Elephas maximus indicus: one gene and its partners. The protein of the gene in region 3 interacts with the protein of the main gene of each other region in a biochemical or structural test. Links are inferred from orthologs where the notes say so. Each region holds a gene or a part of one and is shown on either strand. Other genes may lie near its edges.

Region 1 (10,393 bases), on a different chromosome or scaffold from region 3:
AGCTGCTCTTTGGAAACCCTATGGGGCAGTTCTCTGTCATACAGGGCAACAGGTGGGAGAGTTCATTCACAGAGAGCTAAAAATTATTACAAAAATCTCTAGATTTACCAGTTCTTTAGATACAATCTTCAACAATATTTTTGCTCAAATCTGTCCATGTTCTTTAATTTTGTTCCATTCACTTATAATTGTTCTGATAATTGACTGGCTTAAGATCACTGAGCCACAAAGTTGAATCTAAAAATTGGCTACTTAGAGAAAAACACAATTGATCCTTGTCTCAATTTTATTTAGTTTATACGACCTATACTTTAATTTGACAGTGTTAATTTTTATCATTTTCAATTTTTCATTCAGTTTTATAAAAAATATTAACAATGGCAAAAATAAACTTAAAGAATTGTCCAAACACTGCTAGGGAGCCAAAAATGGCAATGAATGCTCCATAAACTAAAGCGCTGACAGATAATTTAACCCCCAAAATGCTTTTTCATAGTGTATGAATTGTTCTAATTGACCATGTATGATAGAAGTGTGGATAATACAGAAATTTAGAGTTACTTGTAATGCATTACTCCAAACTTTATTTTTATTTTTTGTATATACACAGTGCTCTTGTGGCTGACAATTTAAATGTCCTATTACCTCCCTCCCCAGGCAAAGCTCCAGGTTTTTCTTCTGTTTTCCCTGAGGATATGTAGAAGGTGACTTTGTGGCTGAAATCCATGCCAGAGTTGAACAGGTCCAGTGCCAGACAGGATTACATCATTAGAGGATTTCAGAAGGGAGCAGGGATTTAGGGCACAGTGACAACAACAGCATTGAGAGGTAACATTTCTTGAGCACTTACAAGGTGCCAAACACTAGTGCTGAACACTCTACATTTATTTTCATACACTTTCTCGTCACAGCACTTTGAAACAGGTGCCGTTAACAAAGAACCAAACCCCTTTCTGTTGAGTTGATTCTGACTGACAGCGACCCTATAGGATAGAGTAGAACTGCCGCACAGTGTTTCCAAGGGGTGCAAGGCTCTAGGGAAGGCGACTGCCACATCTTTCTCCCCATGAGCTGCGAACCACTGACCTTTCTGTTTGCAGGCAATCACTTTAATTACTGCACCACCAGGGCTACTACTCCCATTTTAGAGATGAAGAAACTGAGGCTTGGTGATGGTAAGAAAAGTGCTCAAAGATGTAGAAAATAAGTTTCTGATCCTTGAGCCAGTGTGATTATCCACTATAAATACATGTTAGCACTGTTCTTTAGAAATATAAGGGGAGCCACGATATAATTTAAAAAATTTTAGTAGCTACATTTAAAAAAAACTAAAAAAGCAAAACAAAACTCATTTTAATCCACTTTAGTTGTAATATTATAAGTTTAGCTTGTTATCAATATGAAAATATTAATGAGTTTTTTTTTTAATTCTATATCTTTAAGATCTGGTCTGTATTTTATTCTTAAAGCACATCTTAATTTGGACTAGCAACATTTCAAGTGCTTAACAGCCACACATGTCTAGTGTCTTGGAGAAACCAGCTCAATAGTAAATAAATATACTTGTTCTGGAGCAGAATCTAGAAGTTTCTAGGGAAACAATTATTCTGACCTTGTTCTGAAGCCCTTGGAGCCCTGGTGGTGCAGTGGTTAAGCATTTGGCTGCTAACCAAAAGAAAGGCAGTTCGAATCCATCAACCGCTGCTTGGAAATCCTATGGGGCGGTTCTACTTTGTCCTATAGTGTCACTGTGAGTTGAAATCAACTTGAGGGCAATGGATTTGGTTTGGTTGTTTTTTTCCTGAAGCTCAGGGAGCGTCCCTAAGACCACTCTACCCATTTCACTTCACATCTGTTCTCTGGCCACACAACCGGATTTCGCCTAGGCTACGCCACCAGGCAAATGGTTTGCCCTCCGCTATTAATCTAAAGGTTGGCAGGTGGAACTCACTCATAGAAGAAAAGGCCCGGTGATCTGCTTCTTTTAAGACTACAGCCGAGAAAACCCTACGGAGCTGCTCTACTCTGCAGCACATTAGGTAACTATGAGTTCAGATCACGGGATGGTAACTAACAACTAGGTCATCACAGCCCCTTCCCATCTACCCTGATGCAGCCCTATGGGGTGTACTCCCACTTCTGAAATCGAGTTAGCCTTTAAGAGGAAACTCTAGATCTGATAAATCCCATGTTTGGGTAATCTTATTGATTAGAAGATATTAAGAGTGTGAGTGTGGCGTGAGATTGCCTGGGATTAAATCCTAGCGATGATATTTGCTAGTGGGATGACTGGCCAATTAACCAAAATATCTCAGGCTAAAGTTCCAGCTCTATAAAATGGATACACTGAGAGAATTTGCCATACAGTGTGTAGTAAGGATTATACATAATAATTCAGGCTTCGGATGGTACTTGACCCATGGAAAACTATCAAGGTTAGAGCTACTACACAGACTTCTCTAATGAATTCATCTCTATTATCTCACTTTTATGGTGACCTTTATAAAGGAAGGTCATTTTCAGGACAGAACGAGCCTATAAAACCCTGCAAAATTGTTATCCCAGGCAACTCATTTTAGCACTGAAGAGTTCAGGTTGCTTAGAGGTGACCTTATATCCTCCTCACTAATCTTTCTCCTCCTGATATCTCTGAGAATGGTACCACCAGCCATACCCAGTACCCAGAGCCTTCGAGTCGATTCCGACTCATAGCAATTCTATAGCCATAGCATCATGCAAAGCAGCGATACATCTGAGGGGTCTGGGAGTATCCCAGGCCAAAACAAAACAAAGCAAAACAAAAACAAACCCTTTGCCATCAAGTCGATTCTGACTCATAGTGACCCTACAGGACAGAGAAGAACTGGCCCCATAGGGTTTTCAAGGACCGGCTGGTGTATTCAAACTGCCGACCTTTTGGTTAAGCAGCCAAGCTGTTGACTACTGCACCATCAGGGTTCCAAAAATGCTCATAGTCAGCAGGAACCAAACCTGCACAGAGAAACCCCAATGGATTTCTAGCCCATCACCTTAACCACTAAGCCCCGACTACGCAGACACTCCAGACCAGAGATACTCAATTAATTCCTAGGGTGCTCACATCGAAGTGTATTGGACCAGACTGGCAGGGGGCAGAGAAACCCCATGTATAATTTTGAAAAGCATAGCCAGTTCTCATGAGTCAGAATTGACTCCATGGCACTGGGTTGGGGAGGGGTAATGGAAGCATCAGGCTCAGCAATTTTTTTTTTTTTCCCAAGGCCCTGGGAAAGGCCTTAACAGTGCGTTTACTTGGTCTTAATAGTTTTTGGGTTGTTTTTAATTTCGCAATAATAAGGTATTTTACTTACAGTTGTTTATGATGGTTGCTGATTTCCACTCAGTCTTCCCTTCCATTACAATTCACCTTGTGTCTGATTATATTGGAACGTTGGTGAGTGTATTTGGGATTTGTGTAAGAGAAAATTTAGTTGGAGATACGTTTAGTTTGGGGTTAATGAGGTAAGTGATTTATAGGCGTGCTCCTATATAGCTCAGTTTTTGTTAACTAAACTGATGAAAGAATGGCTTCAAAGAAAACTACTATTTGCTGGGATACCTGGAATGCTCACAAGAAGATGCAGGGCAAGATGTCACAGCAAGACATCCACATACCCGTTGCGCCCCCCACTGGGAGTAAGTGCTTAGTGCACAGGAGAATTAAGATTTAAAATATACTGACCCTGTAGCTAATCTGTGAAGAGTTCTCCCGATTTTTTTCATTCACATAGGAAAGAAGCTTGATACAGGATTTCCTAAATTGGAAAAAAATCCTGAAAATTACTGGACACCCAATAATGTTTTAAAACTGAAACTTCTAAATTGTCAATAACAGAAAAGAAGCTGTGATCAAACATGCTAGGAAATATCTTCCCATTGTCCATGTAGAAAATACAAATTAATTTTGAAGACATAATCTGAGTATACAGACAAAAATACAGAAAAACACTGCGGTGTATTCATAAAATATCCTCTTTCTGAATATTGTGGATACGAACTTTTTATAAATTGGAATGTGAACTTTCCATCCTAAGGGAACACTAGATTTTACAAACTTTAAAAGCCCTAGGGTGTCCCCGCCAATCTACTTCAGCGAGACAGAAGCTCTGCAGTTTAATACCTCGTCAGCCATCAAACCTTAACAGATAGTGGCCTCTTTTAAAAAGAAACGGTTGTCTTTGACTCAGCTGAATTAAGCTTTCAGTGGGCATTTACATACATACAGGTGGCTAGTAAGCAAAATAGGTAAATTAAGAGTACAACCACTTTTAAGTGAAAGTGTGGGTGGCTCTGAAAAGAGCCTTTTTTAAGTCAAAGGGAAAAGTGGCAATTTACGCCCTCTCCCCGCGGATGCGGCGGGCCAGCTGGATGTCCTTGGGCATGATGGTGACGCGCTTGGCGTGGATGGCGCACAGGTTGGTGTCCTCAAACAGCCCCACCAGGTAGGCCTCGCACGCCTCCTGCAGCGCCATGACGGCCGAGCTCTGGAAGCGCAGGTCGGTCTTGAAGTCCTGCGCGATCTCGCGCACCAGCCGCTGGAAAGGCAGCTTGCGGATCAGCAGCTCGGTGGACTTCTGGTAGCGCCTGATCTCGCGCAGCGCCACGGTGCCGGGCCGGTAGCGGTGAGGCTTCTTCACGCCGCCGGTGGCCGGGGCGCTCTTGCGGGCAGCTTTGGTGGCCAGCTGCTTGCGGGGTGCCTTGCCGCCGGTGGACTTGCGGGCTGTCTGCTTGGTACGAGCCATCACGGAGAGACTGAAGACAAACAAAAAGTCTAGCAAACTGGTGGTAAAATTGCCTTTAAATATAGTTTGAAGCGACCTGATTGGCTTTATGAAGTTTCAAAAGTTCCGCGCGATAAAACCATTGGCTGATGGCTGACTGGTGATTGGTTAATAACTAGAGACTGTGATTGGATGAACTATTCCACTTCATCATCCGGGATTCCTTTTGTTAATCTCAGATATTTGTAGGGGATTAATTTTCTAAAGTTCTAGTTCTGCCCGTCTCCATGTACTGTGTGCATGAGGAACCCTTTAGGGATCTTGTTAAAATGTAAATTCTGATTCCATATATCTGAATGGGACATGAGATCATGAATCCTTAACATGCTTGCAGGTTATGTCAATACTGGTGGTCCCCACATATTAAGTACAGTTTTATCGTCTGCACTTAACCGTCTGTTTTCTTTTCCAGTTAAATTATCGCGAGTCGCCTGGACTGACACAAGCCCTGGTCATTGTAGCTCCCCTAATCCTGAGTTTGTGAAACCTTTGTGATCTACATGTCAATGTACCTGGGTGGAATATCTGGCGAAGCAGTTAAAGCGACGGTTTCAGATTTGGCGGGTACACACAGAATAGCAACAAATTGTCACTGGTTAATGTTGGACAAGATTATTTTTCTAGATTCAGAATTTGAGGAACTAACACTGCTTTATTATTGGTTAAGGACGTGGTGAATTTCCTTACTTCGTTTTTCGAGCCCCAACATTTCTCGGCCCCGCCTGTTTTGTAAAACACCTTATTTTGCTTGTTAGGTTTCTTTTTATACAAAATATTCTGAACGACCTACTTTCCTGGTGCTCTTTAAACTAATGTATCTTATTAGTTACGACACAGGCTTTTCTTATGTTACTTTTAAACACTACGTAGTTTAGGAATATACAAACACAGAGTTATCAGCTTCTCTCTTGAAAGTGTGGATGGCTCTGAAAAGAGCCTTTTGTCTAGTTGAGAACAAGGAAGTGTTTTTACTGCTTATTTGTGGGCTTCACTTGCCCTTAGCCTTATGGTGACTCTCGGTTTTCTTGGGCAGCAGCACGGCCTGGATGTTGGGCAGGACGCCACCCTGCGCGATGGTGACTTTGCCCAGCAGCTTGTTGAGCTCCTCGTCGTTGCGGATGGCCAGTTGCAAGTGGCGCGGGATAATACGTGTCTTCTTGTTGTCGCGGGCCGCGTTGCCCGCCAGCTCCAGGATCTCGGCCGTCAGGTACTCCAGCACCGCCGCCAGGTACACCGGTGCGCCGGCTCCGACTCGCTCGGAGTAGTTTCCCTTACGGAGCAAGCGGTGCACTCTGCCCACCGGGAACTGCAAACCGGCGCGGGAGGACCGAGTTTTGGCTTTGGCGCGAGCCTTACCACCCTGCTTTCCCCGTCCAGACATCGCCCTTTACACTAAAACCAACACGCAAATTGAAAGTGTTTTAAGCTGGAAAAACGCACTTATAGGCAATGCAGGGCTATGAATGTACCCTGCCTGATTGGTTAAAATAGACAGCCTTGTTTTGTCCAATAGGAAAAGAAAGTGTGTATTGCTTATTTGCATAAACACCGTACTTGGCAAAGTGTACTACTATCCAATCAGAGGTGAGAGTTCGTAAACCCTCATTTGAATTACGCAACTATAAAGAGAGGGCTCCAGGATTTTTCCTAACTTCGGTGGTGAAGAGGTTGTTAAGCGGTTCAGTTCCAGTTCTGAACAGTTATGCCTGAGCCATCTAAGTCTGCACCAGCTCCTAAAAAGGGGTCTAAGAAAGCTATAACTAAGGCGCAGAAAAAGGATGGTAAAAAGCGCAAGCGCAGCCGCAAGGAAAGTTACTCTATCTACGTTTATAAGGTGTTGAAGCAGGTCCATCCTGACACCGGGATCTCATCCAAGGCGATGGGTATTATGAACTCCTTCGTCAACGACATCTTCGAACGCATTGCTGGGGAAGCTTCTCGCCTGGCGCATTACAACAAGCGCTCGACCATCACGTCCAGGGAGATCCAGACGGCCGTGCGCCTGCTGCTGCCCGGGGAGCTGGCCAAGCACGCGGTGTCCGAGGGCACCAAGGCCGTCACCAAGTACACCAGCTCTAAATAGACGGGCCTGCGTAGGTTTTTCTTAATTCAAAGGCTCTTTTCAGAGCCACCTACTTTCTCGGAAGAGAGCTGTAATTGCGATCATTGTGCATAAGAGAGAAAAGCTGAGGTACTTAAAGACCAAGTTAAACTGACAAATTTTTTCTGCTGCTCTAGCTCCCTCCGAAAAAGCTGTTTTAACTTTATTAAACTCGTATTTTCAGTGTTTGATGCAATCCTTGGGATTTTTATTTATCTATACTCGAGAACGCTCTTTCTCTCCTGCGTCCCAGCTCTTTCCTGCGTCCCAGCACTTTCCTAGTGGTGACTGGAAGGTCCCTGGAGAATAACGGAGTGGTTAAGACGTTTCCGTGCGTAGTTACCCCTGAGGGCGTGGTTAGCCAGGCTCTTGCCCCAAGAGTGAGGAGGAGGAGGATGTCGGGTCGTTTTCGCCCGAAACATGAACTCAAGATGTCAGACGTGGCTGCCTGCATTGGGGCACAGGCAAGGGAGATCTCCGGTTGTTTTTCTGGGAAATTCTGGAGCGTCTACTCGACCTCTTTGCCATTGCACAGCCGTTTAAAAAAATTTTTTTTAATCGAATGCAAGAAATCCGGACCTCATTTCATGTATCACTTACCGTTAGGGGCTTGTCACCAGAATAGGGCGGGATAATGGCTAGAGCTCCGGGAGGACAAAGGGTTTGAATTTCCCTCTATTTCCCATCTGGCGCCACCTTGTGTCTGACTGGGAAGATCTCAGTTGGAGGGGCCCACTGCCGGTTTTTCTTGTAGGCTCTTTAGCAAGAATCTAGAACCTCAAAAGTACCGATTTTGAGTGCAGGGTACGGGGAAGGTAGGAAGACAGGGAAAAAAGACAGCTGCCAATTAAAAGGAAAAGTATGTTCAGTCTGTTTACCAGTCTCTTATGTAGATGACATACAGCAGTGTCTTTGGAGAACAAAGCAAAATTTAAAGAATTTCTCAAACAGGATCTTTTAAAGGAAAGTAAAAATCACCTTCTCCAGGATCCCAGGGAAGATGTCAGCCTCAGTATGAGAAGCACTTCCTATCCCAGTGTATGCAAGATATTATGAGACATTTGTCTTGAAAATGAATAATGCTTGTTTTTTTTTACATTATAACAATGGTTGCCCGCCCCCCAAAACAAGAAGTAGTGAACTCAGGCTGCAGTTTAAGGATCACTGTCCTGTAGGTTCCTCCCTTGGAAGGCTGACACGTAGGTAGTAATATTGTATCTTAACATCTGTTGAGGAAATATAATTTAAAAAATCTGCAAACTCAGAAAAGATCACAAAGTTGGAAGAGAAAGAACACAATTTTATTATTGAATAAGCATTAAGCCAGGAGGGGATGCATCACAGGGAATCTGCTTTAGATATTGCAAAGACAAAGAAATCTCACCCCTCTATGTGGCTAAGTGGATGCAACCTGTCTTAGTTATCTAGTGCTGCTAAAACAGAAATACCTTAAGTGGTTGGCTTTAGCAAAGAGAAATTTATTCTCTGACGGTTTAGGAGGCTAGAAGTCTAAATTCAGGCCACCAGGTCTAGGGGAAGGTGCTCTATTTCTGTCGCCTCTGGGGGAAGGTCCTTGTCATCAATCTTCCCATGGTCTAGGAATTTCTCAGCACGAGTACCCCAGGATCCAAAGAAAGCACTCTGCTCCCTATGCTTTTTTCATGGTGGCATGAGGTCCCACTCCTCTCTGCTCAATTCTCTCTTTTATACCTCAAAAGAGATTGACTCAAGATACAACCTAATCCTAAAGATTTAGTTCTGTCTTGTTAATATAACTGCTTCTAATCCTGCCTCGTTAATATCATAGACGTTAAGATTTACAACACATAGGATAATCATATGAGATCACAAAATGGTGGACAATTGCGCAGTACTGGGAATCATGGCCTAACCAAATTGATACACATTTTGGGGGACACAGTTCATTCCATAACACAACCCATTACATACATGTTCTCAAGATAATCAATTAATAATGTCTCATATCTTTACGGTTGGAGGTAGGTTTGTAGTTTGGAGCTAAGTCTGCAGGCATGCTCATCTCCTCCCAGAAAAATGGGAGATGGGAGCACTATCTTTCTTGACATTTACATTTCAAAGAAATGGCCCACAGGTCCCTTTGGAAATATTCCTGAGTTCTGAAATTGGCAAGAAGCTTATTTAATATTTGATTTTCCACATTTTCAAAATAATCTCTTGAGGTAGGGATTATTTTCTCTCCAATTTGTCCTTCATAAGTTTTGCCTGCTTGCTTTCTTTTGTTCTTTTATTTGTTTCTCTCTTTCTCCTTTCAAATAAGAAACTGAGAATGTTTTATCTAAAACTTGTAACCAAAAAGATCAGCAGTTAGAATCTACCAGGAGATCCTTGGAAACCCTATAGAGCAGTTCTACCCTGTCCTGTAGGATCACTATGAGCTGGAATCAACTTGAGGGCAATGGGTTTTTTGGTGTTATACCCTTAGTTGAAATGCTGGTGGCGTAGTGGTTAAGTGCTACGGCAGCTAACTAAAGGGTCAGCAGTTCAAATCCACCAGGCGCTCCTTGGAAACTCTATGGGGGCAGTTCTACTCCATCCTATAGGGTCGCTATGAGTCGGAATCGACTCGACGGCACTGGGGTTTGGGGACCCTTAGTTGACAAGCCCAAATTACATTCCAGGCTTAAACTCAAAACTAGGCCTTTCTGCCATCGCTGTTTTATCTGGCTGATCTTTACAAGTGAATTAAGAAAAAAAAAAAAAAAATCACGTACCTGGGCTGGCTGGTAGGCCTTGGGTCTATGAGGGGAGATGTGAGAAGCCAGAAATTTTCATATTTACAAATGTCAGTTGATTCTGATGAGGTTCCAACTTTCGATACAGCAAGGACAGTGGACAAGTCCATCAGCTTGAGGGAAGTACTAAAAAGGTTTATGTACCCTTTTCCTAGTTAACTAACACCCACATTTTCTCCAGAGCTACAGTCTCAAGGTGTTGAAGCAGGGTCCACAATAGCCAGCAAAAGACCACATACATGGTCTGTCAGTGCATAGGAAAAGTTTTACTCACACAGAGAAGAGACAGAGCATGAGTGGCTTCACTAGTGGGCACCAGCCTCCCATGGCCAGCACGTTCATCCCACATATGGCCACTGCAGGGCAAATGTTCTATGTTCACCTCTCTTGTACCATAGTACATAGTATGAGAGAGCTCAGTTCCATCCCTGCTGTGAACAAATATAGAAGTGGGGTTGACCAGGTGCTTTATGTTGATTGTGCATATAAGAGAGACAGAGAACATTACTGTGTGTCCAGGACAGGGGCAAGACTTCTCTGATAAGGAGAAGGAACTGGGAGAGAAAAGGCGATCCAATTTTCAGCTTGTCAGAGGAATGTTCTGGTCCCAAAGCCTTTACTTAGGCAGCCTGGATGGGTGGTGTAGAGGAAGACCATTCCTCTACCACAGGGTTAAAATAAAAGAGACAGAGAGAGAA
Region 2 (10,355 bases), on a different chromosome or scaffold from region 3:
GTCTGTTCTACCAAAAGCCATCTATAGATACAATGCAATTTCGATCCAAATCCCAATGACATTTTTTAATGAGATGGAGAACCAAATCACCAACTTCATATGGAAGAGCAAGAAACCCCAGATAAGTAAAGCTTTACTCAAAAAGAAGAGCAAAGTGGGAGGCCTTACTCTACCTGATTTTAGAACCTATTATACTGCCACAGTAGTAAATAGAGCCTGGTACTGGTACAACAGATACATAGACCAATGGAACAGAATTGAGAATTCAGACATAAATCCATCCACATATGAGCAGCTGATATTTGACAAAGGCCCAAAGTCAGTTAACTGGGGAAAAGACAGTCTGTTTAACAAATGGTGCTGGCATAACTGGATATCCATCTGCAAAAAAAAAAATGAAACAAGACCCATACCTCATTCCATGTACAAAAACTAGCTCAAAATGGATCAAAGACCTAAATATAAAATCTAAAACTATAAAGATCATGGAGGAAAAAATAGGGACAATGCTAGGAGCCCTAATACATGGCATGAACAGTATACAGAACTTTATTAACAGTGCAGAAGAAAAACTAGATAACTGGGACCTCCTAAAAATCAAACACCTATGGTCATCCAAAGACTTCACCAAAAGAGTAAAAGGACTACCTACAGTCTGGGAAAAAGTTTTTAGCTATGACATTTCCGATCAGCGCCTGATCCCTAAAATCTACATGATACTGCAAAAACTCAACTACAAAAAGATAAATAACCCAATTAAAAAATGGGCAAAAGATATGAAGAGACACTTCACTAAAGAGATGCAGGTAGCTAACAGATACATGAGGAAATGTTCACGATCATTAGCCATTAGAGAAATGCAGATCAAAAGTACAATGAGATTTCATCTCACTCCAACAAGATTGACATTAATCCAAAAAACACAAAATAATCAATGTCGGAGAGGTTGTGGAGAGACTGCAACACTTATACACTGCTGGTGGGAATGTAAAATGGTACAACCACTTTGGAAATAGATTTGGCACTCTCTTAAAAAGCTATAATAGAACTACCATACGATCCAGCAATCCCATTCCTCGGAATATATCCTAGAGAAATAAGAGCCTTTACACAAACAGATATATGGACACCCATGTTTATTGCAGTACTGTTTACAATAGCAAAAAGATAGGAGCAACCAAGGTGCCCACCAACGGATGTATGGATAAATTATGGTTTATTCACACAATGGAATACTATGCATCGATAAAGAACAGTGAGGAATCTGTGAAACATTTTATAACATGGAGGAACCTGGAAGGCATTATGCTGAGTGAAATTAGTCAGTTGCAAAAGGACAAATATTGTATAAGACCACTATTATAAGAACTTGAGAAACAGTTTAAACTGAGAAAAAAACATTCTTTTGTGGTTATTGAGGGGGGAGGGAGGGAGGGTGGGAGAGGGATATTCACTAATTAGATAGTAGATAAGAACTACTTTAGGTAGTTCTTATCTACTATCTAATTAGTGAATATCCCTCTCCCACCCTCTTTAGGGAAAGACAACACAGAATACAGGGGAAGTCAGCACAACTGGAATAAACCAAAAGCAAAGAAGTTTCCTGAATAAACTGAATGCTTCATAGGCCAGAGTAGCAGGGGCAGGGGTTTGGGGAGCATGGTTTCAGGGGACATCTAAGTCAGTTGGCTTAATAATACCTACTAAGAAAACATTCTGCGTTCCACTTTGAAGAGTGGCGTCTGGGGTCTTAACACTAGCAAGTGGCCATCTAAGATACATCAATGGGTCTCAACCTACCTGGATCAAAGGAGAATGAAGAACACCAAGGACACAAGGTAATTACGAGCCCAAGGGACAGAAAAGGCCACATGAACCAGCGACTGCATCATCCTGAGACCAGAAGAACTAGATGGTGCCCAGCTACAACCAATGACTGACCTGACAGAGAACCCCTGAGGGAGGAACATTGCAGTGGGATGCAGACCCCAAATTCTCATAAAAAGACCAGAGTTAATGGTCTGACTGAGACTAGAAGGACCCTGGTGGTCATGGCCCCCAGGCCTTCTGTTGGCCCAGGACAGGAACCATTCCCAAAGCCAACTCTTCAGACAGGGATTGGATTGGACAGTGGGTTGGAGAGGGATGCTGGTGAGGCATGAGCTTCTTGGATCAGGTGGACACTTGAGACTATGTTGGCTTCTCCTGCCTGGAGGGGAGATAAGAGAGTAGAGTTGGTTAGAAGCTGGCGAAATGGACAGGAAAAGAGAGAGCAGAGGGAGGGAGCGGGCTGTCTCATCAGGGGGAGAGTAATTGGGAGTATGCAGCAAGGCGTATATAAGTTTTTATGTGAGAGACAGACTGGATTTGTAAACTTTCACTTAAAGCACAATATAAATTATTAAAAAACTTATTTAAAAAATCCAAAATTAAATAAAATGGGCAACAAGATGAACTTTTAAAAAATGGATGTACCATTTAGAAGTGTCCTTTAGGATAAACACTGCCTGGGACTGTTTCTCCCCATAGCTTAGTCCAGCTTGCTGCTCTTGCTCCAGCAGTGCAATTCAATTTCAGCATAGACATTTGCTTATCATGTAAAAATCAGATAACTTCGCTGCCTCCTGCGTAAGATTTACATATTACCGTTTTTTACTCTAATGTCTCCTGTCTTCAGTTTGTTACAAAAGTGCTGAAAGTTGCACTAAGACTCTTTTTTTTTTTTTTTACCCCTTTTGCGTTATTTTAGACTGACTTGTTTTCTTAATTGCTGACAGCTTAAGTGGGCATTAAATAGGTTTTCACTGGTCCTTATAAACTGGTACAATCTTTACATTTAGCAAGTGGATGTGGTAAATAACCTTTGCTGTTGAATGGATTCCGACTCATAGCTACCTTATAAGGTTGGGAATTATCCCCATAGGGTTTCCAAGGAGAACTTGCCACACCTTTCTCCTGTGGAGGGTTCAGCCACCAACCTTAGCAGCCTAGCACTTAACCGGTGTGCTATGAGAGCACCTTGTGGTAAATAAGACTAATTTTTTTCAACTGGTTGTGATTTCAGGGGCCCTTTTCCCCTCCATAATTCCACCTTTTAACTAGGCTTAGGAATAACAACCTGTCAGATACACATGCCTAAACAAATCATTTATTTTTTGATATTGTTTTTTGGAGAGGTTTCCTTTCTTTTGATTTCCTACTTTGCCTTTTTTTCCCCTAATGATGCCTAGTTTATACATTTACTTTATTACAATGTTTTTCATTAAACTAATGCCATATAATCAACTTCCTTAGAAAAAATTTAGAACAGAAAAATTTAGAAAAGAAAAAAAAACACTACCACCAAAGTAAAATTTAATTTTTTGAAATACCTAATGTCCCCTCCCACCATATGCCAATGTTGCTATTGTGCCTGGGTTGTTAAGTGTGGACAAGTTGGTTCCAACTCATAGTGACCCTATGTAAAACAGAATGAAACAATGCCTGGTCCCATATCATCCTTACAATCACTGCTGTTTCAGCCCATTTTTTCAATCCATCTCGTTGAGGGTCTTCCTCTTTTTCCCTCTCTATTTTCCCAAGCGTGATGTCCTTCTACAGGGAATGGTCCCTCCTAACAACATGTCCAAAGTACATGAGACAAAGTCTTGCCCATCCTCACTTCTAAGGAACATTCTAGCCATACTTCTTCCAAGACAGATTGGTTAGTTGTTCTGGCAGTTCATGGTATATTCAATATTCTTTGCCAACACCATAATTCAAAGGTATCAATTCTTCTCTGGCTTTGTCTAGCTTTTGTAGGCATATGAGGCCATTGAACACACCATGACTTGGGTTAGGCACATCTTAGTCTTCAAAGTAACATCTTTACTTTTAAATACTTTAAAGAGGTCTTTTGCAGCAGATTTGCTCAATGCAATACATCTTTTGATTTCTTGACTGCTGCCTCCATGGCTGTTGATTGTGGATCCAAGTAAAATGTAATCCTTGACAACTTCAATATTTTCCCCGTTTATCCTGTTTCTTATTGGTCGAGTTGTGAGGATTTTTGTCTCCTTTTTGGCGAAATGCAATCCATACTGAAGGCTGCAGTCTTTGATCTTCCTGGACTGCAGCAGCCCACAAAATTAAATTTGTAGCAATTTAATTTCGCATACCCTAATATCTGACATAAAGTAGCCCTGTGGTTAAGAGGGAAACCCTGGTGGCATAGTGGTTAAGTGCTATGGCTGCTAACCAAGAGGTTGGCAGTTCAAATCCACCAGGCACTCCTCGGAAACTCTATGGGGCAGTTCTACTCTGTCCTATAGGGTTGCTATAAGTCAATACACTTGACAGCAGTGGGTTTTGGTTTGGGTGGTTAAGAGCTCAGGCTGCTAAGAAAAAGGTGGACAGTTCCAATCCACCAGCTGCTCCTCGGAAACCCTATGGGGCGGTTCTACTCTGCCTACAGGGTGGCTATGAGTCAGAGTGGACTCCAAAGCAACTTTATTTTTAAATGCCGACATAAAGGGGCCCTGGTGGCACAGCGGTTAAGCATTTGGTTGCTAATCAAAAAGCCCACCAGGCGCTCTGAGGGAGAAAGATGGGGCAGTCCGCTTTCTTAAAGATTTACAGCCTTGGAATATCTATGGGGCAGTTCTAGTCTGTGCTAGAGGGCCGGCTATCAGTCGGACTCGACAGCAACAGGCCTGTTAATACTTCACATGCAAAGCCTCACATCTAGAGCCTCCAAATGAATTTTACTTCACCAATATTTCAGCGAGGAACTCGAAGAGCGAAAAAATGGCAAATAAGGAGAGGGTGGGGCGTGCACGGTGAATTCCCCATGCTGAGAAAGGAAAATATCGAAAGAGGATGCGACAGCTGAACGCTTTTCCCAAGTAGCCCATCCTTATAAATCTCCAGCCTAATCCGATTTCTTAATTTACTGCCCTGAGCGGCGCTCCCTCCTCAATTCAGGAATCCTAGGAACACAGCTTTCTCGCATTCGGTACAAATCCCCTAACGCCTCTGTATTCGGCAGTTCTCGTTAAGAGAGCGTGACTTACTTCTAAAACGCCGCCGGGCGCGCGCGGAGAAGCCCCTGCCCGGCTGACGGCCGGTAGCGTGCTCAGCGTCTCATCTGGGCCAGGTGCGCAGGCCCAGGATCTGGCCCCCACAGGGAAGCCCTGACGGAGCCGGGTCAGGCGCCCCGCTTTCCCGAGGGCAGGATCCGCGAACTACAACCAGAGAGCTACTCGGTAACTGCTCGCCTGTCGCCTAACTAGGGGCTTGTAGACGACCCGGCGATCAGAGCCCGCAGGGGAGGGGGCGGGCGGCCCGAGAGCTCGCCGGAGGGCACCCACCACCCCCTCGCTTCTGGGCGCACGCGCAACCGCCTTCCTTTAGTCCGCGATGGCTTCCTTCGCGCCCCACCGTCCTCCTCCCGAAGGCGGCCCCTGCGTACCCCAGAGCCACTGGGACCGGCCTCGAGCAAGTCCCTGAGCGGGGCTAGCCCTGAACAGGAATAGGGGTGGCCGGACGCGCGCGTGAGGAAAAGAAGCGGCAACCGGAAAGAGCTGACGGGCCGTGAAGAGGCGAAGCAGGCCTCAGAGGAAGAGGAAGGCCGGCACAAGCCGAGGTTTGCCGAAGGCGCCGTTCTGGAGCTGCGCTGGGCGGGGAGGAAGACCGAGGGTGGGAGAGGACGGGCGCGGCGGAAACTGCCGATGTTTTCCGAAGGCGGCAGCATCCGAGTTGCCCGGATGTAGTTGGTGGAGCGGTATCGGCGGCACCAGCGGCGGTGGCGGCGGCGGGAGGAGGAGAGGCGAAGGACCAGGCAGCGGCGGCGGCGGGGGGAGGAGGGGAGGAGGCGGCGGAGCAGGAGGAGGAGAAGGCGGGGAAGGCATTCGCTTTCCGCGGCGCTGAGCCAGACGCGTCTTCTTGCCCCCCTCCCCCCGGTTCGCCGCTGCCGCCGTGTAGTTGGCGCCGTTGCCCCGGCCAAGAGTGAGTGTGGTGTCGGCGGAGGGAGATGGCCCGGGAGCGCCGGCGCCAGTAACGGGGAGGTGCTGAGACTCGCCGAGGGCGCGCCGGGCCGTGGTGCCGGTACTGCCGCCCGCCCGCCCGCCCGCCTCTCGCGGCCGCTCTCCCCCCTCCCCGACACACACTCACAGGCCGGGCATTGATGGTAATGTATGCGAGGAAACAGCAGAGACTCAGTGATGGGTAAATTGTCTTTTCTTCTTTTCGGGCCGGGCCGCAGCGGGGGGCGGCGGCGGCGGCGGAGGGGGGGCTGTTCCTCCTTATCTGGTGCTGGCCAGGCCGCCATTTTTGTTGTTAACCCTGATCCGGATCGGGCTGGGGAGGAGGAGCAGCCGCGGGAGCAGCGAGGAGGGAGTGTGCGTGGAGGGGAGCCGAGGGCCGGGGTTGCAGCGTTTCGCCGTCCTGGTGTGAGTGTGTGTGTGCGTGTTGCTCGCGGGGTACACTTGTTAGGTCTGCCGCGGGAGGGGTGGAGGGGGGACCCGTTTTTTCTTCCTCCTCCCGCGATGTCTCATGTCGCTGTGTCTCTTCCTGTTTTTCAGCTGTCACGACCGGAGGGGGGACTCGCAGCCTTACCAGGTACCAGCCGTGGCCGGGGTGGAAGGGTGGGAGGGGGCCGGAGGGGGAGGGGAGAGGCTGCTACTCGAGCGCAGGCTTCTGAAGTCGCTACAGGCCCTTCAGTGCACCAAACCCGAAACTAGCACCGCGGGCCCTCCAAAAATTTTGTGTTTAGTTATATTAGCGCTCTCCAGCAAGGTTTACTGACTTATTTTGACAGGTGACTGGAGGAAGTACAAGTTTTTAGGAAAAAAAAAAAAATCATCTGCAACCGGGAAGACCTGGCTCGATTATTTGGGTGTAAAGGAATTGATGTGAAGAGGAGTTAGGTGATTTTTGAAGTATTTGTATTTATTGTACTGAGGAACTAAAAGTTAATGGGAAGGTGTTAAAATTAGATGAAAGGCCTGGAAAGAGATAGCTAATTGCCTTTCAGCTCTTAAGTTGTTTGTAAACAACTCTCTCTGCCCATTCTAATTTTGTTGCAAATAATTGCTTAACTGGTGAAAGGTACTGCTTTTTTATTACTGTAAGATTTGTGATCTTTGGATGCTTGAATATTTCATTCTAATGTGGATGGCTCTTGCTAAGTAGTTTCTTTTTTGTTATGTTACTGCAGGTGTTACATAAGTAAAGTTTTTAAAAATTATGATAGAATTGCCCAAGGTTTGGGGCAGAAATCTGATGCATGGCTGACAACTATCATAACTCTAGAACTTCTGTAAATAACTTTGAGTCTGATCACTTAAGGGATAAGAGAATAGTTTTCTAAGCTGAAAGTTCTGTTACTGGCAAACAGGAGTTGTTAAAGCTCAAGTTAGAAACGCTAGGTCCCCTGATGTGTAAACATTGTCCATAACATTTTGATATGACAAAGATTAAACCCTATTGAGTCTGGCCCTCTATATATTAAATATTGCAAACACCTCATATATCAATGCTTTAAATGTGTTCAAGTGAAATTAAGCCATTATTGTGGGGAAGTTTTATTATACTTTTTTTTACAAATATTGCTCATGTATCAGTTTTATTTTGGCCAGTATTTTTATCCCTTTGAAATTGTTTTCCAAGCCTGCAGAAATAGGTAAGTTAGGCCTGAAACACTTCATCTGAGAACTATTACCCCCCTTTAAAAAAAATTTTTTTTTTGTAGATTTGTACATGTCTAAACATACCAGTTGCAGAGCAGAAATTGAATACAGTAGTATTTAGGTTCTAGTTTTCCTTGGATTAAGGTTTCAAAAAAATTTGAAATATTAATTCCCAGGAAAATGTATATGGAATCAGTGTGCTGAGGTGTTTGATATAATGGAGTGGATTTTTCCCCGTTATGATATTTATTAGGAGCTTTGTAATAACAAGCATTTGTGGCTTGTGTTAATAATTTAAGAGCATAACTGATAATGGAAAATTTAATTTTGCCTATGTAAATTTTTAAAACTTAATGATGTCAATTAAACAAAATAGTAAAGTTTAAAGTTTCAATTCTTTCTTTTTTGGGGGGGGTGTGATGTTTTACAGGCACTTAAATACTCATCGAAGAGTCACCCCAGTAGTGGTGATCACAGACATGAAAAGATGCGAGACGCCACAGATCCTTCACCACCAAATAAAATGTTGCGGAGATCTGATAGTCCTGAAAACAAATTTAGTGACAGCACAGGTCACGCTAAGGCCAAAAACGTGCATGCTCACAGAGTTAGAGAGAGGGATGGTGGTGAGTAGCTTTCCTGTTGAAACTGTCACATATTTATCTTATAACAATGGCTGTATAGGCCTATAGGCGGTAGTAGTATTTCAAGTTTGAGGACATTGTCATGAGGTTATGTCATTAAAGTATTTCAATTTTATTAACCTATTATGATTCATTAACAGGTTATTGTAGAAATAAGATGCTGACTTGAGTATCTAAAAACTGGATTCTTAGTGGCTGATAATAAGAGGGTGTATTTATGAATATATAGTTTACCAAATGCTTTATTAATAATGGGAGAAATACAAAACATTTTCCCAGGAAAGTAAGTTACTTTTAAGTAAAGATTTCAGTTTATTTGGCTTAGTTTATTTTGAGACCCTTGTTGCTGCTTGAAGTTGTTTTAAAGAGTTCAAGTCTGTTTCCTAATTATAATAAGTTAGAAAATTTAAAATTTAGTATGTTTTCAAAACAGCTCATGGATTAAAAAGCCCATTTGTGATTCAGAAAATATCTTCTGAGTTTTTGTTGTAAACATTTTAAATTTTATTTTCTAGGGTCCTGTTAATTTAACTTTTACACAGCTTTCAATTCAACTTTTTAAAGGTTAGGTTAGCCTTATTTCTTTTGCATGCTGCTAACACTCTTCAGTTATTACTATGCCTCAAGTTCTTTGTGGTAGGAGACAGAATAAGTAAATAAATCCAACTCTAGGTAACTATTTTCAGACTTAAGTTGCCCCAAATTTACCAAAGTAATCAGGTTTCATGTCTAAGAAAGACATTAAAGAACAAACCATTTTTCACTAAGATAATCAAGACAGTTCTCTTCCGCCACAGTTAGATCTTACATTGCTTAATAGATAGAATGCTTGAGATAAATGTACAGATTGTGCTTTTATAAACTTCCAGGGAAACTCAACAGTACCATATGGCTTTCTTTCTTCCTTGTTAGCAACTAGTTTTCAGTACTTTGTTTTTTAATGTCCTGCACCTTCTGGTCCTCTTTAGTGTAGAAATCAGCCTTACTCAATGTAATCAGGTAATGAGAAACATTTGATCACCTATGTACTACATAATTACTAGGTTGGGGAAATTAGTAATGGTCATAGATTGCATTGGGAAGGAATAATTTGGATGATTATTGGATGGGAGGAAAATAAAGTTCATTTCTTCTCTGTTGAATATTGCTGTAACTTTGTACTACTTAAGCAGGTAAACCATATTTTTCAGTAGTACTACTGGGTGGGGCTTGATTATTAAAAACATTTGAAGTTCTTTGGCAAAATTAAACTATTAACATTTTCATTTTGGGGGGTGAATTTTCCACGGCGCTATGTATAGACCAAGATGGTACTATTATCGAACTTTTCTATAGTGGGTTACGTACCAAATGTAAACTCTTGGAGGGTGGGTACTGCTTATGTGGTAGAAAGCTTTATTTTTTATAGTTTTGGTGATTGTAAAAAAAAAAAACAGGATGTGGCACCTCATCTCCTTGTAGATAGGCTCTTACGTTCCATTTATTTCCAAAGCCAGGGAAGAAGTCCGTTGATGCACACAATGAAACTTGTGTAAATGCTTCCATACATTTTCCAGGGAACCATACCCGATAAATTCTTTCACAGGTGAAGTAAGCCCAAGAGCATCCTGTTGGCTTATTCATTCAGCAAACATTGGGCATCGACTGTGTGCCACCAGCTGTGCGGTGCTCCTGGAAGTACCGATAGGATGTGGTCCTGGTCTTGAGGCTGGCCGTCAAGGCATTGACTCTTGAGAGTTAGTCATATTTTAGCTGCTTGTCCTTTCTGAACCCCTTTTCACTTTGATTTTAATTTTCCTTCCTGGGAGAACTCTAGGTATATCTTGTTGGTTTTTAGGTTCCTTTTTATTTGTATCTGCTTCCATTGTTTACTCAGTTGATGTTCTTTTAGCCTCATGTATAAGAAACTTGTTGCATGATTTTCTGATCGTTTTCTAGGTTAGGCTCCACTCTCTACTTTCTAAGATACTTTATATATAAGTCTGTCAGCTCTTTTGCCTGTCTTCCTGAGTTCCTTTTTTAATTAACGTAACTCTGTACGTGT
Region 3 (11,026 bases):
TCTAACAATCCAAACCCAGACCCAGTGCCAACAAGGCTGGCATTAATCCAAAAACACAAAATAATAAATGTTGGAGAGGCTGTGGAGAGATTGGAACACTTATACACTGCTGGTGGGAATGTAAAATGGTACAACCACTTTGGAAATCAATTTGGCATTTCCTTAAAAAGCTAGAAATAGAACTACCATACGATCCAGCAATCCCACTCCTTGGAATATACCCTAGAGAAATAAGAGCCTTTACATGAACAGATATATGCACACCCATGTTTACTGCAGCACTGTTTACAATAGCAAAAAGATCGAAGCAACCAAGGTGCCCATCAACGGATGAATGGATAAATAAATTATGGCATATTCACACAATGGAATACTATGCATCAATAAAGAACAATGAGGAATCTGTGAAACATTTCATAACATGGAGGAACCTGGAAGGCATTATGCTGAGTGAAATCAGTCAGTTGTAAAAGGACAAATATTGTATAAGACCACCATTACAAGAATTTGAGAAATAGTTTAAAGCGAGAAAACATTCTTTTGTGGTTACGAGAGGGGGAGGGAGGAAGGGTGGGAGAGGGATAGTCACTAATTAGATAGTTGATAAGAACTACTTTAGGTGAAGGGAAAGACAGCACACAATACAGGGGAGGTCAGCACAATTGGACTAAACCAAAAGCAAAGAAGTTTCCTGAATAAACTGAATGCTTTGAAGGCCAGTGTAGCAGGGGCAGGGGTCTGGGGACCATGGTTTCAGGGGACATCTAAGTCTATCGGCATAATAAAATCTATTAAGAAAACATTCTGCATACCACTTTGAAGAGTGGCGTCTGGGGTCTTAAATGCTAGCAAGCAGCTATCTAAGATGCATCAATTGGTCTCAACCCACCTGGATCAAAGGAGAGTGAAGAACACCAAGGACACAAGGTGATTAAGAGCCCAAGAGACAGAAAGGGCCACATGAACCAGCGACTACATCATCCTGAGACCAGAACTAGATGATGCCCAGCTACAACTGAGGACTGCTCTGACAGGGAACACAACAGAGGACCCTTGAGGGAGCAGGAGAGCAGTGGGATGCAGACCCCAAATTCTCATAAAAAGACCTGACTTAATGATCTGACTGAGACTAGAAGGACCCCAGTGGTCATGGCCCCCAGATCTTCTGTTGCCCCAGGACCGAAGCCAACTCTTCAGACATGGATTGGACTGGACAATGGGTTGGAGAGGGATGCTGGTGAGGAGCGAGCTTCTCGGATCAGGCGGACACTTGAGACTATGTTGGCATCTCCTGCCTGGAGGGGACATTAGAGGGTGGAGGGGGTTAGAAGCTGGCAAAATGGACACAAAAAGACAGAGTGGAGGGAGAGAGCGAGCTGTCTCATTAGGGGGAGAGTAATTGGGAGTGTGTAGCAAGGTGTATATGGGTTTTTGTGTGAGAGACTGACTTGATTTGTAAACTTACACTTAAAAAAATTTTTTTTTTTTACTTAAAGCACAAGAAAAATTATTAAAAAAACATAAAAAAACAAACAAAGAAAAAAAGAACAGAAATTTATTTTCTCACAGTTTGGGAGTCTAGAAGTCCAAATTCAGAGCGTGACTCTAGGTTGGTGGTCTGAATCTATTCACAGGTGCCTTGGAAGAAAGGCCTTGTGATCTACTTCTGAAAGATCATGGCCACTGAAAACCTTATGGAACGCTGTTCCACTCTCAAACACATGAGGTTGCCCTGAGTTGGAATCAACTCAATGGCAACTGTTTTCTTTTTTTTTGGAATGTAGACACAATGCAGCTTTTTAGGGGAGATTTAAATAAAGTGAGGGTCCCCTGACAATTTGACTACATATCACTTCTCATGTTTGCACAGACCCTGTTGGGACTCCCTGTCCCCATTCTCAGAGGATGAGAGGACTTGCTGTGGCTCCTGGCCTAAGCTATGACCCTGGTCCCTAGAAAACACAAAGCAGGGGACAGGGGACATGGCACAACGTAGTGGCCAAAGTGATCCTGGGAGAGGGAGACAGAGGTGTGAAGATGAATTGCAGATGTGGCACTGGTGAAGGGTTATAGAGTAGGAGAAGCTGAGGACAAAAACGGGACTGGTTTCTGCAGGACACTCTCAGGCGCAGCTGGACATCATCACCTAGGGTAGTGTTCTTCAGACTTGTCTAGGTAGGACGTGTAATTACAAAAGTAAGAACTTCCATTTTCAGATCCTTCTCTGCAGATTCTAACTAAGTCTGGAGCAAACTCTGTGGAATCTGTATGTGTCTGTTTAACAAGCGATGCCACACCAGATGAAATACAGCAGCTGTCTAAGTAAGAGATAAATAAGGGGCTGCCAGAATTATGCATAGCACACAACCCAATACAGAGTTTGTGGAATGTCTGAATGAATGGAGGTATAACAATTTTACAGCTGAACACCCGCAGGAAGAATAGAAAAAGTATTTTTGACAAAGTTTTGGTAAATAAAAATAAAGAAATATTTTAATTTGAGTGCATTAAGCCCACCCTAAGTAGCAGCTGTCCAGGTTTTAGAGAGTTAAATTGAAGACTTGACTGGTAAGTACAGTACTTTCCAACCACCAACTATAAAGCGGAATGGATAAGAGGCATGTGCCCTGCTGCCATCTTGTGGCGGAATTGTGTAGTTAACATAGAAGGACTGGAAATCTGAAAACTTTGGTCCTTTAATTAAGACAAATACTTGCTCAGTAATTTGGAACAATCACTTGAAACTTCTGAGTCTGTTTTATCACTTTTAAAAAAGCATTACTGTTATACTTATTATAGTTACTCAAATTATAATGTTGCTGAGATGATCAATAAGAGCTTTTAAACAAAAGTATTCTAAATCCTAAGTATTCTGTTAGCATTGCTAATGCTGTTCTCTGTTTATGAGTATGAGAAAACCTCACTTCTTTGGGGTTACTCCTTTTTCTCTTAAGATAATGAACAGGTGGTGGTTTGTCAGAATGGGGAATGCAGTCAGTGAGAAAGGTCTCCTGCTTCCTCCTCTCCCCACTCCATTTGTCCCAATTCTCTAGGATCAGGCCAGGTTACTGTGAATGTATCAAATGACTGGGTGGGGGTTTCAGAGAAGATAGTTCTCTCTAGTAGCTGGAGAATATGGTTACCTACATGGCAAGAGCTAAAGGGTCCTAAAAAGGTTTTTTTTCCCCCTCTCCGTATATCTTCTTAGCACCCTTAAGTGTGGGTTGAAGTTAGGGATGACCTGAGTTGACTAGCTCCATTTCCCTGAGATTCTCTTGGTTCTGCCTTCCTCTGTGGGTTGACTCCGTTCTCAAACTGGTGGCAAAGGGGCTGCAACAGTTTCAGGCCTCACACAAAAAACTCAGAGAAAAGAAGATAGTTTTAGTCCTAATATTCCTAGAGATTCACCCTGACTAGACAACCCTTTACTGAGCCTAGGAGCATGGCTTGGAGAAAGGGATTTACTACTTATTTTAAGACAATCCTTGGAGATGGGGGTGGAGTCAGATTCCCCCAAGACATACAGAATCAAGATGACTAAATAGCGAATAAAATCCTAGTTCTGTTAAGGGTGGAATAGACACTGGGTTGTTATTGTGTGCCATCGATTCCAACTCATAGCCATCCTATGTGACAGAGTAGAACTGCCCCATAGGATTTTTTTCTTGGCTGTAATCTTTACAGAAGCAGATAGACAAGTCTTTCTCCCAAGGAGCTGCTGAGTGGGTTCAAACTGCCAACCTTTAGGTTAGCAGCCAAGCACTTAACCACTGTGTCACCAGGGCTCCTTGGATACTATATAGGCAACTGTTATGGACTGAACGTGTCTTCCCAAAACATGTGTTATAATTCCTAACTCCTGGGTGGTACAAATGGTTAAGCGCTGGACTACTAGCCTAAAAGTCGAGTTTGAACTTCTCAGAGGTGCCTCAGAAGACAGATGATCTGCTTCTGAAAAGTCACAGCCTTGAAAACCTAACAGAGCAGTTCTCTTCTGCACACATGGGTTGCCAAGAGCTGGAATGGACTCCACAGACAGATACGTATGGATGTAATCTCATTTAGGAATGAATCGGGGTTTCTTTGTTACATTAATGAGACCATGTCAGTGTAGGTTGTCTCAAACCTACTCACTTTTGATATATAAAATGAGTAGATTAAGCACAGAGAAATAAGCACAAACTGACAGTCAAGGCATCAGAGAATGCCGGGTCTACAGAAACTGAATGAGATCTTACCCCAAAGACGATAGACAGCGAGGCTTCCCTTAGAACCAGTGCCCTGAATTTGGACTCTAGTCTTCTAACCTGTGAGAAAACACATTTCTGTTCTTCAAAACTACTCACTTGTGGTGTTTCTGTTACAGCAGCACTAAGAAACTAAGACAGCAACCAACAATGCTCAATGATTGTTTATCGTTATACAGTGCACGGTGAGAGCATTCAAACGAAACTCACCCTTAGTGTCAGAATTGATAAGTAGGTGGCGCAGCAGTTAAAGAACTTGGCTGCTAACCAAAAGGTCCTACAGGGTCCCTATGAGCCGGCACTGACTCAACAGCAATGGGTTTGGTTTTTTTTTTCTGGAGTGAGGATTATGGCAAACCAGAGAAATATGCTCCATTAATAAAACAGATGCCACTATTCAGCTGTAGGCAATGTTGCCAGGCAAGACTATAAGCCCAGTGTTGCTAGATCTTCAAAAATTTCAAAATAAATTGATAATCTGGATTTTTATGTAAAATGTCCACATTTGAAATGTTAACAAGTCAGTTTTGTGTGTGTGTTTTAAACCACCCAGGGTGGCCAACAGTGTCCAAACCAAACAAACCTTATTATCTGTTGGCCAAAAACAGCCTGTGAAGCTCTGGTTTACAAGCTCAAGGCTAGTAGAGGCACTGCAGTAAAATTCTGCCATTCAGTGGTTGTAAATGTAAGTCTTGCCAAGAGTAGATTAGTTAAAGCAGGAGATCAGAGAACCGGTGTCACTGTCATATACAACGCTTTTCAGCAGGTTGGTTCCCAAACATGGGTTCTCAGGCCTCTGTTAAACCCAATGAAATGTGAAGTCCATTTGGAGCCAGTTACTTCTTTCCAGGCCAGGCATGGTGTTCTAGTACCAGGCACCAGAAACACGTTTTTTTCCCATTGTTCACCTTATTTCATCCACAGGTCAAGACCCAGTAGGTACAGGGAAGTCTTCACACTACCAGAAATCCAGTGTAAATTTGGTTTGATCTTTTTTTCAATAATGCCCAAATTTCTTTGAGCCCTCATCTGATATAATTAGGCAGTTTTTCTTAATTCTGCGAAGCACAGAGCTTTAGTGATAGGGTTAGATTGATTACCTTCTCTATCATTAAAGAATAAAACATTTAATTGAACAGAAAACAGCTGTTTGTCACTGACAAAAATCAATGCTAATTAGCTTAAAATAGATTAGTGTTTAGATCAGAGACTGCCTCTTGATTTGCGATTCTTTTTCCTGGTCAATTTCTTGTTTCAATATGGCACAAGAGAATTAGACATATTAGAATCACAGGGGAGAGGGGGTAGGGTTTGTTGAAGATGCTTTTTAAAAGAGTGTCAATATCCAGACCCTACCCTAAAACCCACTGGGGTCCAGTCCATTATGACTCATAGTGACCCTACAGGACAGAGCAGAATCGCCACATGCTGTTCCCAAGGAGCAGCTGGTGGACTGGATGGTGGGTTCCAACCGCCCACCTTTTGGTTAGCAGCTGTAGTTCTTAACCATGATGCCACCAGGGTTTCCGGCCCCACCCTAGAGGAACCAAGAAATCAGTTCGTTCAGTCAATTCCGACTCATAGCGACCCTATAGGACAGAATAGAACAGCCCCCTAGGGTTTCCAAGGAGCAGCTGGTGGATTCCAACTATCAATCTTGGGTTAGCAGCCAAGAGCTTAACCACCGCGCCACCAGGGCGCCGAAGCTCCCCAAATGATTCTATTATGTAGACAAGGCCGGATATTGTTCCCTGTAAGAAAAATCTAAAAGCGTGGAAACCCTTCAAATCCCTTGTATTTTCTCCAGAACTCTTTTTCAGCACCAAGGAGTTCCGCGAAACATTTCCCAGAGGTGTCTGAGGCTTAGTTCTTGCCAACCCGGAGATTGACGGGACCGTCAGCCAATCAGGCGTGTGAACGACTCTCTCTAGAACCAAGAACAGGCAAAAGAATCAGGCACTTTCACTCAGCAGAAAAATCCAAGATCGCAGTATTAAAGGCCAACAAACCTACAAAAGTCAGGGACGCTCCCTCCAGCTTCGGCGAGTCCCAGATACACCGAGAGTTCTCACCGTAGAGAGAGCCTCCCCCGCCCGCCTCAAGCCTGGCTAATAACGCCGCGCTTATCCTGGCCGCTCGGCGCCCCCGCGTGGCGTCACTTCCGCCCGGGCCGGGTTGAAGCGATTTCCTCTTTCCTTTCCCTTCTTTCTCTAGCCCCGCCCCCCGGAAGCTCCGCTCGGTCACCGCCCGCGGGTCAGGGGTGAGAGGTGGGAGGGCGCCGCGGGCCTCGGTGAGTAACTGCCGCGAGTTCTGCTCCCGGGCGGCGCGAGTTGAAGGAACCAGGTTAGATGACGGCTGAGGGCGCGACGGGACTGTGCGGGCCCTCGGGAATCTCCAGCCTCTGCGGTTTCGGGGCTCCTCTTCCCCAGGCTTGCAATTGGCAGCGCCGGTGGCAGGGTTCCTGGCCCCTCTCGAGTTGGATTGCGGCTCTAGTCGCTGCTCCTCTGTTTCCTCTCCACCTCAGGTCTATAGGCTCTGTGATGGCAGGGCGGCTGCTTAACGTAACCAAAGTGCTTTAGTATCCATTCCGCCTCCTTTGACCTCCGAAACCCTGCGGGTAAGGTAGGGCAGATGAAATTGTTATTCGCCTTCATTGAACTGAAGCTCTTGGAGAACTCACTCTTTGAAGGCAACAAGGCTCCCTGAGAGGTAGAATTGGGATTCGCTCCTGGGGATTCTAGCTTCCCTAGGTTTGCACAGAGTCGTGGGGAGAGAATTTGGAAGTAGGAGAGAAACTGCACACATAAAAAGGAGAGCTAGCATTTCTGAGTGCTTACTTCATGTCTGGCAGGGTGTTGAGTTCTTTCTGTAATTATATCACTCAATCCTTGTCATAAGCATAGGAAGAAACAAACCCAAACCCAGTGCTGTCGAGTCGATTCCGACTCATAGCGACCCTATAGGAAGTATATGCCGTTATTTTTAGTTTAGGAAACTGAGGCTCAGAGATGATAAATGACTTGTCCAGTATTAGTGACTTGCTAGACATCTCCCAGATCTCTTCAGCTCTTTGGTTCTTCCAACATCATACAGTTAATTTCCATCCTAAACAAACTGTACCTTTCTGATTTTGACATCTCGGGAAGTCAAAGGAAGTAAGGGATAACTTCCTGAAATTTTTTCTTGGTCTGTTCATCCTTTGCCTATTGTTTTACTTATCAGCAGTCTATTTAGAAATCTGTGGTCATATAATTCAGCCCTGACTCTTACTCCACAATTTACTTCTTTCCCAAGAGGAAATTAAAGATTGTGTTCCTTGGTCTGAAATCAACGGTTGTAGGTTAAAAGGCTGCCTGGAAAAATTGCTAATTTTTGCATCATAGGTGGTCTCTTTTTGGACGTTTTTAATTGCCTCTCTGCATATCTTACCACAGTTTCTGCTTTTTTTTTTTCCCCTCCAGGAAAGCAGCCGTCATCTTGTGCCAGGATGTCAGGAACTGGGAATAAAAGAGCAGCCGGAGAGCCTGGCACATCTGCGCCTCCAGAGAAGAAGACAGCTGTTGAGGATTCAGGGACCACCGTGGAAACAATTAAGCTAGGAGGTGTCTCTTCAACGGTATGTGGTGAAAATCCTAACTGTACTTTTCTAGTCAGTTGTGATCTGAAACTGAGAATTTATGGAAGAATACAGTGCCAGGTATAAGAGGAAGTAGAACACAGTTGTTAAGAGTGTGGTGAAGGGTGAGGGTCTGAAGCCAGACTGCCAGGGGTTAACTCTCAGCTCTCCCGCTTTTAAGCTGTGTGACCTTTTATTATCTTTCCTGTGCATCTGTATCCTTGTCTGTAAAATGTAATTACGATACCTACGTCACTAGGTTGTTGTGAGGATAAAATGAGAGTCCATGTAAAGGCTTACAGCATTGCCTTTGACAAAGTAAGTACTCCGTAAATGTGAACTATTAATAGTTATTATTGGGCTAAATAATATGAATATAATGGTAAGTGAAATAGCTATTATTTTTGCCCTTATGGACCTGACAATTTCATTAGATGGTTTTATTTTGCAAGCTCATTGTAATTTTATATATCCATTAGATGTCAGAAGCTAATGTTTTTGATATCAATCAGAGTTCTGTGTTTTGGGGCTCAGCCATGGGGATATGGTGTTAAGACACTTCAGGTTTGTATAGCTTACAAAACCACATCTATTTTCTGTTTGATTGTGAGGCTGAGGCTTAGAGAAGCTGATTTTGTTTTCAGAGTCAGGAAGAATACTAGGAACATTCGGAGCAAATTGTCACTGAAGTGCCATTTCTGAGGCCATCTGTGGATCAGCTACACCAAACTGCTGCCAGGGAGTGATTTTTGTCTTAGCATTGCCTCACGTCATGCACCCAAAGAACATTTATTCACTTGATGAATATAAATATTTATGGAGTATCTATTATTTGCCAGGCACTGTGCTTTACACTGAGGACAGCCCTGAACTTCAGTTTGTCAGGTGGTGCTATTATAATATAAGGGGATGCACTGTTAAGATGAGTTGGATATGTGCTGTGGGGCAGTTCTACTGTGTCCTACAGGGTTGCTATGAGTCAGGATCGACTCGACAGCAACGAGTTTGGTTTTGGTTTTGATGTGCTGTTTATTGTGGTAAGCAAGGCTCTAGGGAATCACGTAGCACCCAGGTTGGACGTCATCCAGAAGGCATTGAAGAGCCACTGAAAGATATTACGTGGGGAAGTGACATGCTCTGAGTTAGGTTTGGAGAATACATGTAGAGGAGGAAGGGTTATGAGCAGGAGTCCAGTTAGCAGGATGGTCCCCTTTTTGCCCTTCCCCTTGTTGCCCCACCTCTTCAAGGGTAGGAAGCTGGGGCATGATCCACTGATTCTGCCCTCATTGTTTGAAGGTTGCCCTTGGAGGCAGTAACTCATCTCCTTCAGGGTTCTGTGGTGAACCAGCTGAGATTGTAGGACTGAAAAACTGAGAGACTCCAACGTGTGGTTGAAGTGGTAACACTGGCAGTGTGAGTGGAGCTGTCCGCCACACATGTGCTGAAATCTGGTGGGCCGACAGGTCATATCATGAGGCACAAAAGTGTCTGCTACAGGAGGGTATTGTAGTGACCTTGATGATTGACTTGAACCCCATGTGGAGGTAGTGTTGACAGGATTTGCTGATGAATTGGACAAAGCATGTGAGGGAAAGGAGGCAAGATCACCTGAGGATTTTCAAGTAACAATTTCCAGTAAATGAGCTAGGGACCATATGAGAAGGGGAGATTTTAGGAAGATACGGAGGGTGAATCATGAGTTTGGTTTTGGGAATGTAAGTTTGAGATAGCTGTTAGACTTCTGAGTGGATAGCAGTTGGATATAGTAATCTGGAGTCTGGAAAGAAGTCTGGAAGTCATTATTTCATAGGTGATATTTAGATGCAAGAGACCAAGGTTTTTCCCTACAGAATGAGCATAGATAGAAAGAGGCTTGAGGACAGAGCTGTAGGGCTCTGCAACATTTTTACATCAAATAGATGAGAAGACACAGTAAAAGAGGGGCCAGTGAGGTAGGAGGAGAACAAGAGAGAGTGTGGTCCCGGAAGCCAAATGGAGAAAGTGTTTCAAGGAGTTGATCAGGTGCTGCTGATGGATGGAGTAAGGTGAGGACTAACACGATCATTAAATTTGGCAACGGAGAGTTCACCGGAGACGTAACAAGAACTGTACTGGTAGAGTGGTGAGGGTGGAAACCTCATTGCAATCAATGTAGGACAACATGAGAGGAGAGGAATTGGGGAAAAGAGTAGTACTGCTGTAAAGTAGAGCAAAGAAATGGGGCAGTAGCCAGACAGGAATGTGGGGCTGAGGGAAGATTTTTTGTTGATTTTTTAAGGTAGGAGATACTACAGCCTGTTCATCTGTTGATTGTAATGATTTGGTAGAAAGGATAAACTTGATGATGTGGCAGAAAGAGGAGACAGTTACTGGTGTGATATCCTTGAATGGGAGAGAGGGAATGTAATGTAATGTTCAAGTTCTTATCAGGCAGGAGTGAGGAAGGAGGGATATGGGTTCATACATAGGCTGGTAGCTGTGGCTGTGGAAGGTAGGTGTGGACGCTGTCTTCTGATTGCTTTTATTTTTTTTTCAGTGAAATCAGAATCAAGACTCGTCTGAGAGTGAGGATGAGGGAGGAAGTTTTGGAGGTTTGAAGAGACAGGAGAAGGTATGAAGTAGTCATCTTGAAGAGAGAATGGGCTAGAGAGATGTAGTAGGACTGCTGGGCAGCTCTGAGGGCCCACTTGAGGTTTGTGATCATGAGTTTAAAGTGAGACTAATCAGCACGGTGCTTTATTTGTTCCAGTTGCCGCCGTGCACATTTAGCTGCATGGTTGTCATCTTGGCATAGTTGGAGAGTTGGGTGTTACCAGAGTTGGAGGTTCTTATCAGAGAGATGTGATGAAGGAGCAAGGAAAGAGGTGGAGATATATAAAAGGGGTGATTATAATGACTCATCATGGAGTTTAAGATTGGTAAAGAAGGAAGTGAGAGGAATGAAGGTGAGACCAATGGATCGTCGAGCATGGTGGAATTGGGGAATTGTTGGAGTCTGGAAACTAAAGAGAAGTGATCGGGAAAAATAAGTGGTAGTTGTGGAGAATGGGGAACATGAAATTGTGTTGATAGAGAATGTGCAGGTACTGGTGAGAAGAAGAATACCTGGGAGTTGGTGAGTGAGGGAGGTAGAGGATAAGCTCCTTGGAGGAGAGGAGGTCAA

Evidence for each region. The genes of interacting proteins can lie anywhere in the genome.
Region 1: of the proteins of RNF20 (region 3) and histone H2B type 1-B, one has a biochemical effect on the other in vitro, tested with the Homo sapiens proteins (2 studies listed by BioGRID, with this or other methods). The link is inferred for Elephas maximus indicus from reciprocal best matches to the Homo sapiens genes RNF20 and H2BC3.
Region 2: the proteins of RNF20 (region 3) and WAC form a complex in vitro, tested with the Homo sapiens proteins (2 studies listed by BioGRID). The link is inferred for Elephas maximus indicus from reciprocal best matches to the Homo sapiens genes RNF20 and WAC.

What each region holds. Positions count from the first base shown.
Region 1 is NC_064819.1:73,170,410-73,180,802, reverse strand, and holds histone H2B type 1-B, read left to right. Parts: upstream 1-6,483; 5' UTR 6,484-6,522; coding exon 6,523-6,903; 3' UTR 6,904-8,333; downstream 8,334-10,393. Other genes in the region: histone H3.1, read right to left, coding at 4,371-4,781; histone H2A type 1-D, read right to left, coding at 5,809-6,201. UniProt on the Homo sapiens protein: Core component of nucleosome. Nucleosomes wrap and compact DNA into chromatin, limiting DNA accessibility to the cellular machineries which require DNA as a template.
Region 2 is NC_064822.1:26,711,327-26,721,681, reverse strand, and holds the start of WAC (WW domain-containing adapter protein with coiled-coil), read left to right. Parts: upstream 1-6,110; 5' UTR 6,111-6,150; coding exon of another isoform or gene 6,151-6,161; 5' UTR 6,162-6,163; coding exon 6,164-6,204; intron 6,205-6,560; coding exon 6,561-6,597; intron 6,598-8,097; coding exon 8,098-8,293; intron 8,294-10,355. Other genes in the region: uncharacterized protein LOC126074836, read right to left, coding at 2,108-2,209, 5,052-5,222, 5,450-6,110, 6,151-6,161.
Region 3 is NC_064827.1:51,276,109-51,287,134, forward strand, and holds the start of RNF20 (E3 ubiquitin-protein ligase BRE1A), read left to right. Parts: upstream 1-6,472; 5' UTR 6,473-6,537; exon of another isoform or gene 6,538-6,590; intron 6,591-7,708; 5' UTR 7,709-7,734; coding exon 7,735-7,863; intron 7,864-10,399; exon of another isoform or gene 10,400-10,474; intron 10,475-11,026. UniProt on the Homo sapiens protein: Component of the RNF20/40 E3 ubiquitin-protein ligase complex that mediates monoubiquitination of 'Lys-120' of histone H2B (H2BK120ub1).